Oreochromis niloticus: one gene and its partner. The protein of the gene in region 1 interacts with the protein of each later gene in a pairwise test. Links are inferred from orthologs where the notes say so. Each region holds a gene or a part of one and is shown in the gene's direction. Other genes may lie near its edges.

Region 1 (3,751 bases):
ATCCCCTGTAGTGACAGCTGCCATCTCTGCCACCCGACAAAAACAAAAGGCAGACAAATAAGCTGAGGCCGAGTGAAGGGTTTTAAACCAAACACTGGAGGGTAGCTGGAGAAACCGCCTCCCGTCTAAAAATAAAATGCAGGGAGCTATTCTGCAAGTGATGAGATATTTTTAAGGAAAATTAAGACTAGCGCTGCCGCTGCTGTTGATCCCATTTTGAGGATAGTCTGAATTTGTGCCCATTAGATTTGAATGAGCCTGAAACTAATGAGTATTAATGTGAGTTAAGCAACATCTTAACCCGTTTGCATCATCACAGACTACAAATTTTGCAAGACAACATGCTGCTGGAAATGATTCCAAGCGCAGTAACGCATTAGTCACGCACAAACACGAGAAGAGCAAGAGTTGCTGCGTGGGTCAAGACTTATGATACTTCTTTATTTTCTGTCCTTTGTCCCAGAAAGCACCGCTGGTTCATTCTGTAAAATAAAAATTTTCCAAACACGTACACACACACACACACACAGTCTGTCGCTCTCTTCCACTCTCTAATTTTTGTCCGCATTCCATTAACTTCTCTCTCTCTGGCTATAAATATCCCTGCATGTCAGATTGGACGAGAGCGAAGGCTTTAGTGGCTTTATGGAAAAGAAAAAAGGGGAGTGAGAGATGGGGGAGGTAAGTATAGATAGATGGGGGGTAAATGGGAAAAGGGAGGGAAGAATGGGTGGGAGAGCTTGGGGATTTTGCAGGGGTTTGGTTTAAATGAAACCAGGTGTGTTGTGGGACCAGTGAGAGGGTGAAAAGATGTGGGGGCATGTGTGTGTGTGAATCTGTGAGTTGTGCCTGCGATTTGGACGGATTTGGAATTTCGGTATTTGGGCCGCAGACCAGGAATTTGCATCCTGGGGGGTCAGGGAGAGGGGGTTTGGGGAGTGGAGGATGGCAGTGCAGGGGGCCAGAGGGGGGTAAGGGGGCTGTTCCTCTCTCCTCCCTTTCTCTCTCTCTCTCTCTTGCCTCTGCCTGTCTTGCTCACTCGCTCTCTCTCTCTCCCTCCCTTTCCATGTGCTCAGCTGCTCCAGCTGTCGGTCTCCCCACTCACTCTCTCTCTCAGGGTCATACAGGCAGGAGTTTAAGGGACCACTTCTGTACGCCAACTCGGCTGGGACGACCGCAGCCAGCAGGAGGACACACTGGTCAGACGGAGACTGAGAGACAGAAGATTCCTCTGTGAGTTTTCCTGTGTTTCTTTAGCCTCTTACACATATCTAAGAATGTCTGTTTGTTAAAGAGAGACTTGCTGGATGACTTACTATGTTTTGCTAGCATTTTAGGGAGAAGTAAGGGAGGTGAGATGTACCTCTTACCCACTTTTTCTAGTACAGGCCATACACGTCACACTTGCACCACTGCCCTGCTCTCTGCTCTGCTCTCCCAGCTGCACTTGGCTCCTTATGAGAGCCAAGATAACGTGGCTAACTCTGTCTGAGTAGTTTACTTCTTGGCTCTGACTGTAATATGGGGTTAGACAGGAAGAGAGGCAGTGAGTCACAGGGCACATATTATCGTACTGTAATATTGCAAAATCCTTCCGCCTCATCCCTCTTGTACAACGTTTAACGTCAGTGTCACAAGCTCAGTTTAGTCTCTAGGTGGGGGAAGCTCAAAATCTGAAACACAAACAGGTGCCAACATGTAGAAGAGTTCTCTAAACCTGGATGACCTCACAGTGCACAACTGCTGTTTCACTTTTTGTGCAATCAATTTCCTGCAGGTAAAAGCAGATGTTTCCACTTTAAGGTGGGGATTAGAAAAAAGCAAGCATGTCAAAGTTTTCTGAACTCTAACACAAAAGCATCACACGTTAGAGTTCAGGAGGAACATGTTTTACCTTGTGAGTGAGTTTCTCCTACAGGGCGTTATTTCTGTCTTTACCTGTGGAGCTTCCCGGAACAGAAGTCAGGCCGAGTGTGAGATGGAGACTCCCTGGTTGTGGATTTGCAGGTTCACTGCCACAACTGTAACAGAGCGCAGCTGGTGGAGCGCGCTGGGTCACCGTGTTCTCAGGCTGCTCCACGCACAGCCGAGCACAGCGACGCAAACTTTGTGTATACACTACAACAAGTGACCATCCTGGAGTCTAAACTGTGTGTGTGTGTGTGTGTGTGGTCCAGCTGTTGGTCTTTTTTTGGTTTCCATGTGGTCACTGATATAAGCCGCCTGACATTTTGCTTGTTAAGCTGTTCTGAATGTGTGAATTTAAAAATGGGTCAACCAGCAGTCCTGAAGCTGAGCCAAGCTCCAAATGAAACTAAGATTGCGCCTTCATAAAGTATCGATGATTTACTTTTTTGTATTTTTTATTTTTGTGGGGTAGTAAATGGTACACTTGTATAAAAGAGAAGCCCACCACAAGTTCCCAGAGTCCAAGATGACGTCTTCAGATGTCTCATTTTGCCTCACTAATAATCATATCCTGCTGAATATTTGGGTTACTTTCGTATTGACAGAAAAAAGCAGGGGAAACTGCATATTTGTGTAGTTGCTTTCACATTTTTGCTGGAAAGCGAGTCATGAAAATGCCTCCTGATTCATTTTCTATGGATTGACTCATCAGTTATTCAAATGGTGTATTTTCCCTGTCAGTGGTGGTCGAACGCAGACAATGAAGTTCTGTATCAGAGCCGCATTCTCTGACATCCTCCTACACATCCTCCAAAGGGATGGGAGGTTAGGGAAGAGGTGGCCGGAGGTCTGGCACCAGCTGTCCTCTTATGTGAACTGTGGGGGGTTTCCCAGAACCTGATACTCTGGGAACCACTGCAGTGGCAGGGCATCCCAGCTGAGAACTGGTGCCCACATCCTTGCCACGGGCATTCCAGAGGTCCGCCGCCACTTGATCTCCAGCAGCAGGAGGGAAACACCCATGCATCCTTGCTGCCCACACTGAGTAGCCAGTGAGTGACTGGACCCCAGGCTGATGGTCAGTTTGTTTTTGGGTGGTTTCGGGTCAAATTCTTGCTGGTTGTAAGTCACTGTTGGGCCAATTCAGAGAGATCACGCACTGCGGCCGTCTGATTGCGCGGTGGTATGCGCTACCGTCTGAGCTTACAGTGTGAGAGCATATTTTGCTGCTTTTCACCACTCAAAGGTCACGGTGATGTCATTCCTCGAGTATTTCAGGGTGTCCAAGTCACCCTGCGGCCTTCTGTTTGTCTCAGCCTGAAATAAAACAATAAGCAATGCCTGCAAATGTGGCCTCGGGAGTTTATATCAGAGCGTGAGTGTATGCACGTAGACAGGCAGTGATTATAACCTTCCTCCCTGTATTTTAACTGGAGCTCACTCACTTTGCAAACAACACTTGCTTAGGATTTTTTTATTACTTCAATTTGTCTGTTTAATTTTCCTGTCTTTTCGGTCTGGCGGAGATGGAACGGGCAACTTGTTTATGTTTAGGCTCAGCTTAAACACTTATAGCTTCTTTCAGGAACATTAACTGAAGGATGGTTGTGTCATTGCTGCCAGAGAGGCCCAATCCATCAATACCGAACCATGCAATATATATTTACCTTAAAAATACACTACATGGTACAGAACACTGTATTAAAGTAAAAATAGCAATATAGCAGTGTCAAAAAATATTCTACTATAGGAAAAGCCTGCAAGAGGTGCTAAAGTAACCGTCAACGTTAAGCTATAAAATGAAAAAAAGGAGAAAGTGTAAGGAAGGTAAAATAAAAGCAAA
Region 2 (3,751 bases), on another chromosome or scaffold:
GCATTTATATAGCGCTTTTTGGGGCCCTCAAAGCGCTTTACAATTCCACTACTCATTCACACACTGGTGGAGGCAAGCTACAGTTGTAGCCACAGCTGTCCTGGGGCAGGCTGACAGAAGCGAGACTGCCATGTCGCGCCATCGGCCCCTCTGGCCATCACTAGTAGGCAGTAGGTGAAGTGTCTTGCCCAAGGACACAACAACCGAGACTGTCCAAGCCGGGGCTCGAACCGGCAACCTTCCGGTTACAAGACAAACTGCCAACTCTTTGAGCCACGATCGCCCCAATGTACATTATTTAGGCCCAGTATTGTGTCCTATGGGGTATTTACCCAAATACTATGCCAAAGTTTAATTTTAATGTATGCACTTCTACATTACTCATGTAATTGTATGAAAAGCTACTTCTTCTACAACACTGTATTTTAGTGTTTGTACTCTAATTGTTTAAAGCACACATATTAATATAAAACACATATGATGCTATGTTGTTAAAGAATTAGCTACCCAGAAGTATATTAAGTAAAAACAATATACACACTGATTAATAAGTAACTATGACTCAATAATGTGTATTATCACAGAAAAGGCCCGTTTTTACACTGGGTATTTCAAGTACATACTGATGCTACTTTTTAAGTAAGATTTTAAATCCCAAAATTAGATTCAGAGGTAAAGGATTTTGCAACACTATGCAAAATACCTAGTAAATACCAAATAATATTCACACTCTTACAGTGTCACTATTCCTGCTATATTATTTTTTAGGTATGTTGGGGCTCAGCATTGTGACAAGGGCCTGAAAAATAATGCGCAAGCCAATTTAACGACTCACGGTTTCACAGTAGAACATTGCACTCTAAGAAGATGATCAATGTTCTTCACTTCCCCAACAAAACAGTCTCTACGGCTTTGTATTTTTTTAGTCACAAGAGGGTGCTGTTGGTCCGTTAAAGTCCTGCATAAGCAATGTTGCACCGTGCCGACCCCAGTGTGCACAAAAGTAAAGCACATAAACCTTTTTTACACTGTGTGTCAGTCGAGAATGAATAATGAATTAGCTTATATGTTATATGCACATATAGTAACAGGGAAGCAAATCGGTTTCTCTACACTTTAATAGCAAATAGCAGATTTAAATGTACCAGAATATACATATATATAGATAGATAGATAGATAGATAGATAGATAGATATAGATATATAATTGTATATGTGTGTGTGTGTGTGCGCGCGCGCGTATGTATAAGGGGCCAAATATGGGAAGCACTAAATGGATGTTACTTTTTCTAACCCTAGTATACATTGACTTCGTGCTTCGTTGCACCAACTACCCAATTGATATTATTTATTTCTGTGCATACGCAAGGATTATTAGAGTAATTTTGTTGCTTGTTCAGAAAACAGGAACAATGTTCTGTACTGATTAAACACTCACAAATGCATTGCTAATAAATTTGCAATGAGTCTGTTTTTTCCATTTTGGGAGAGGGGTTGGTCTCGCCATCACCAACATGTGTCCACTGGCTTGAGACGTGGCAGCGCCTCCGGTCATGTGATTTTTGTTCGCACACGAACCCCACCCCGGTATCGCCCACCCCAAAAGATTTGTTTTAATATCGCTCCTTCGTTATTCTTCTGTCAGTTATCCGATTAAATACAAGCACTGACAGAAAAAAAAGTGCTGAGAAATATTCCCCTGCATAACTCAGCACAAATAACTAGACATGGATTTGAGTGGTGGCGGTGACCACCCAAAACAGAGCCATTTTTAGACGTTTACTGCTGACGTTTACAGAGGCTTCAAATAGCTTCCGTTTTACTCTGGTAGTGATTGGACTGTCCTGTACTTGAGTGAGCTAACATACTGGTTGAACAAGTCCGACATTCTTCACTTCAATGGAGGAACAGCCCAAAGACCGGGCACAAGACAGGCAATACCATCACCACGGAGACGACAGGCACTCTTTTCAGCAGCCAACTTGTCTAAAAAATGATCAGAGCCACTTCCAGTGCCAGCATCAGGAAACGCAGACGAAGAAAACAGGTTGGGCCATCCCGAAAAGTTAGCTAATGCTTGCTAGCCTTGGTCAGCTAATGTCAGTGAGCTGACTAGCTTTTGCTAACTAATGTGAACTAAATCGCAATTGAGGACTTAGCCTGCTAGCTATTGGTTCATATTATATATGGTTCCTTGAGATAATTTGGTAAATGTTTCAGCTGGTGAAAAGCTTGGCCCTTTTTGACGGATAGCCGGACGAGGAGCTCACCGTTATGTTAGCAAGTTCGCTAGCTGACGTTGCGTGACAGTTGTCGCTGTGGTTGTTTGACACATCGGGGATTGACCTTGTGCGCCGGTTTCGCCAACCATTTTTCTTTTGCAAATGCATCGTAATCATCTCAAGGAACCCCTGCCATGTTGCCATGTGTTCTTAGCGCATTATTTGATAGGCGTGCACGGCAAGTTATCCTCAACAATAGTCAAAGCTGTGTCTTTTTGTTCGGCATGCTCATGTCCAGCTTAGGAAAACCGAGCCGGCTCCACTGGAATGTTCTGAGCTGCCATTTCCTGTCAGCCATGTTAGACTATCACTGCTGGCTAATGCTGTAGTTCCACAGCTAGTTAGAAATTGTTGTACAGGCAACATACTTTGCTGTTTTGGCATGTCTCTGCTGTCATTTTGGCTGCTGTGGTTGTTGTTGTTGGTGCTGATAGGGCACGACAGTTCCTGGGCGTGTTGGTGGCAACCGAGCCGCTGGTTAGTTGACATTAGCTAAAGCTAGCCATCACTGACAGGCCTGTTGCGTGTTGTGAAGCCAGGCAACAACTGGACAATGTCTTGTTTTGTGGCGCTGAGCTGACACTGTAAGCATCGTCTTTACGAGACTATATGCATTCGTATGATTGCTAGTGAGTAAGAACCGGCCTCCGTCTAAGAGAGGAGAGACCGTATAGAATCCATTGGGTGCTGCGCTCACAGACATTGAGGCAGCACCACTGTGAATGAAAAGTCCTACGTTGACACAGCAATTCCCATGCGTCTGTGCAGTGCACGGGCCTGTTAATAGTTTATTGCTCCTCTGTGCGTGTGCCATAAATGCTGTTGTGAGCGATCCTTGCAGACCTTGCAACAACTTGTGTCTGATGTCGAATATTCTCTGGGGTGGGGGAAGCTAAGCAAGAGTCCTTTACGTTGTTGACAGTTGTGAAGCATATCTAATTTCTATAACTTGTTACATGTAGTGAGCTCTCAGCTTATCTTGGAAGATTGTTAGGAAGTTTAATTTCAGGCAGCACTATAAGAATAATTATAAACCCAATAAGGAGATCAGTCATGTTCTCCATGGGTGTGGTTTACATGTAATACTAGAGAAACATTTAAAAGTTTAATATGCATCTTTTTTTACTTGGATTTGTTTAGGTTAAGAGTTGCATACATGTGAGTCACTTTTTTGCTATTGCGATAGCATGCGTGCACGCACACACAAAAAATCTATAAAATCCTTGTAGTTTCTCCAAGTTTGAAACAGATTATTTGACACAGACTTTCTGTAAATGTAGTACTTGTGGAGGTTTTCTGCCAGGTGAAGGGTGGTGGATGTTCCCTAATTTCAGTATCAACTGATTTTATTTCCCCTTTCAGGCAATAAAAAAGTAAGCATCAGTGACGAGGAGGGAGAGAAGAATCCACATCTGTCTAATGCCGTTGGCATGTCGCATCCACCTAGCATCAATGCTAACAGACATACA

Evidence for each region. The genes of interacting proteins can lie anywhere in the genome.
Region 2: the proteins of efemp2a (region 1) and nufip2 interact in binary tests that used the Homo sapiens proteins (3 or more experiments, as listed by UniProt). The two-hybrid records come from large-scale screens. The link is inferred for Oreochromis niloticus from reciprocal best matches to the Homo sapiens genes EFEMP2 and NUFIP2.

The regions. Positions count from the first base shown.
Region 1 is NC_031966.2:20,257,937-20,261,687, reverse strand, and holds the start of efemp2a (EGF-containing fibulin-like extracellular matrix protein 2a), read left to right. Parts: upstream 1-1,032; 5' UTR 1,033-1,233; intron 1,234-3,751. UniProt on the Homo sapiens protein: Plays a crucial role in elastic fiber formation in tissue, and in the formation of ultrastructural connections between elastic laminae and smooth muscle cells in the aorta, therefore participates in terminal differentiation and maturation of smooth muscle cell (SMC) and in the mechanical properties and wall integrity maintenance of the aorta.
Region 2 is NC_031975.2:7,236,357-7,240,107, forward strand, and holds the start of nufip2 (nuclear fragile X mental retardation-interacting protein 2), read left to right. Parts: upstream 1-1,600; 5' UTR 1,601-1,899; coding exon 1,900-2,047; intron 2,048-2,270; exon of another isoform or gene 2,271-3,637; intron 3,638-3,644; coding exon 3,645-3,751. UniProt on the Homo sapiens protein: Binds RNA.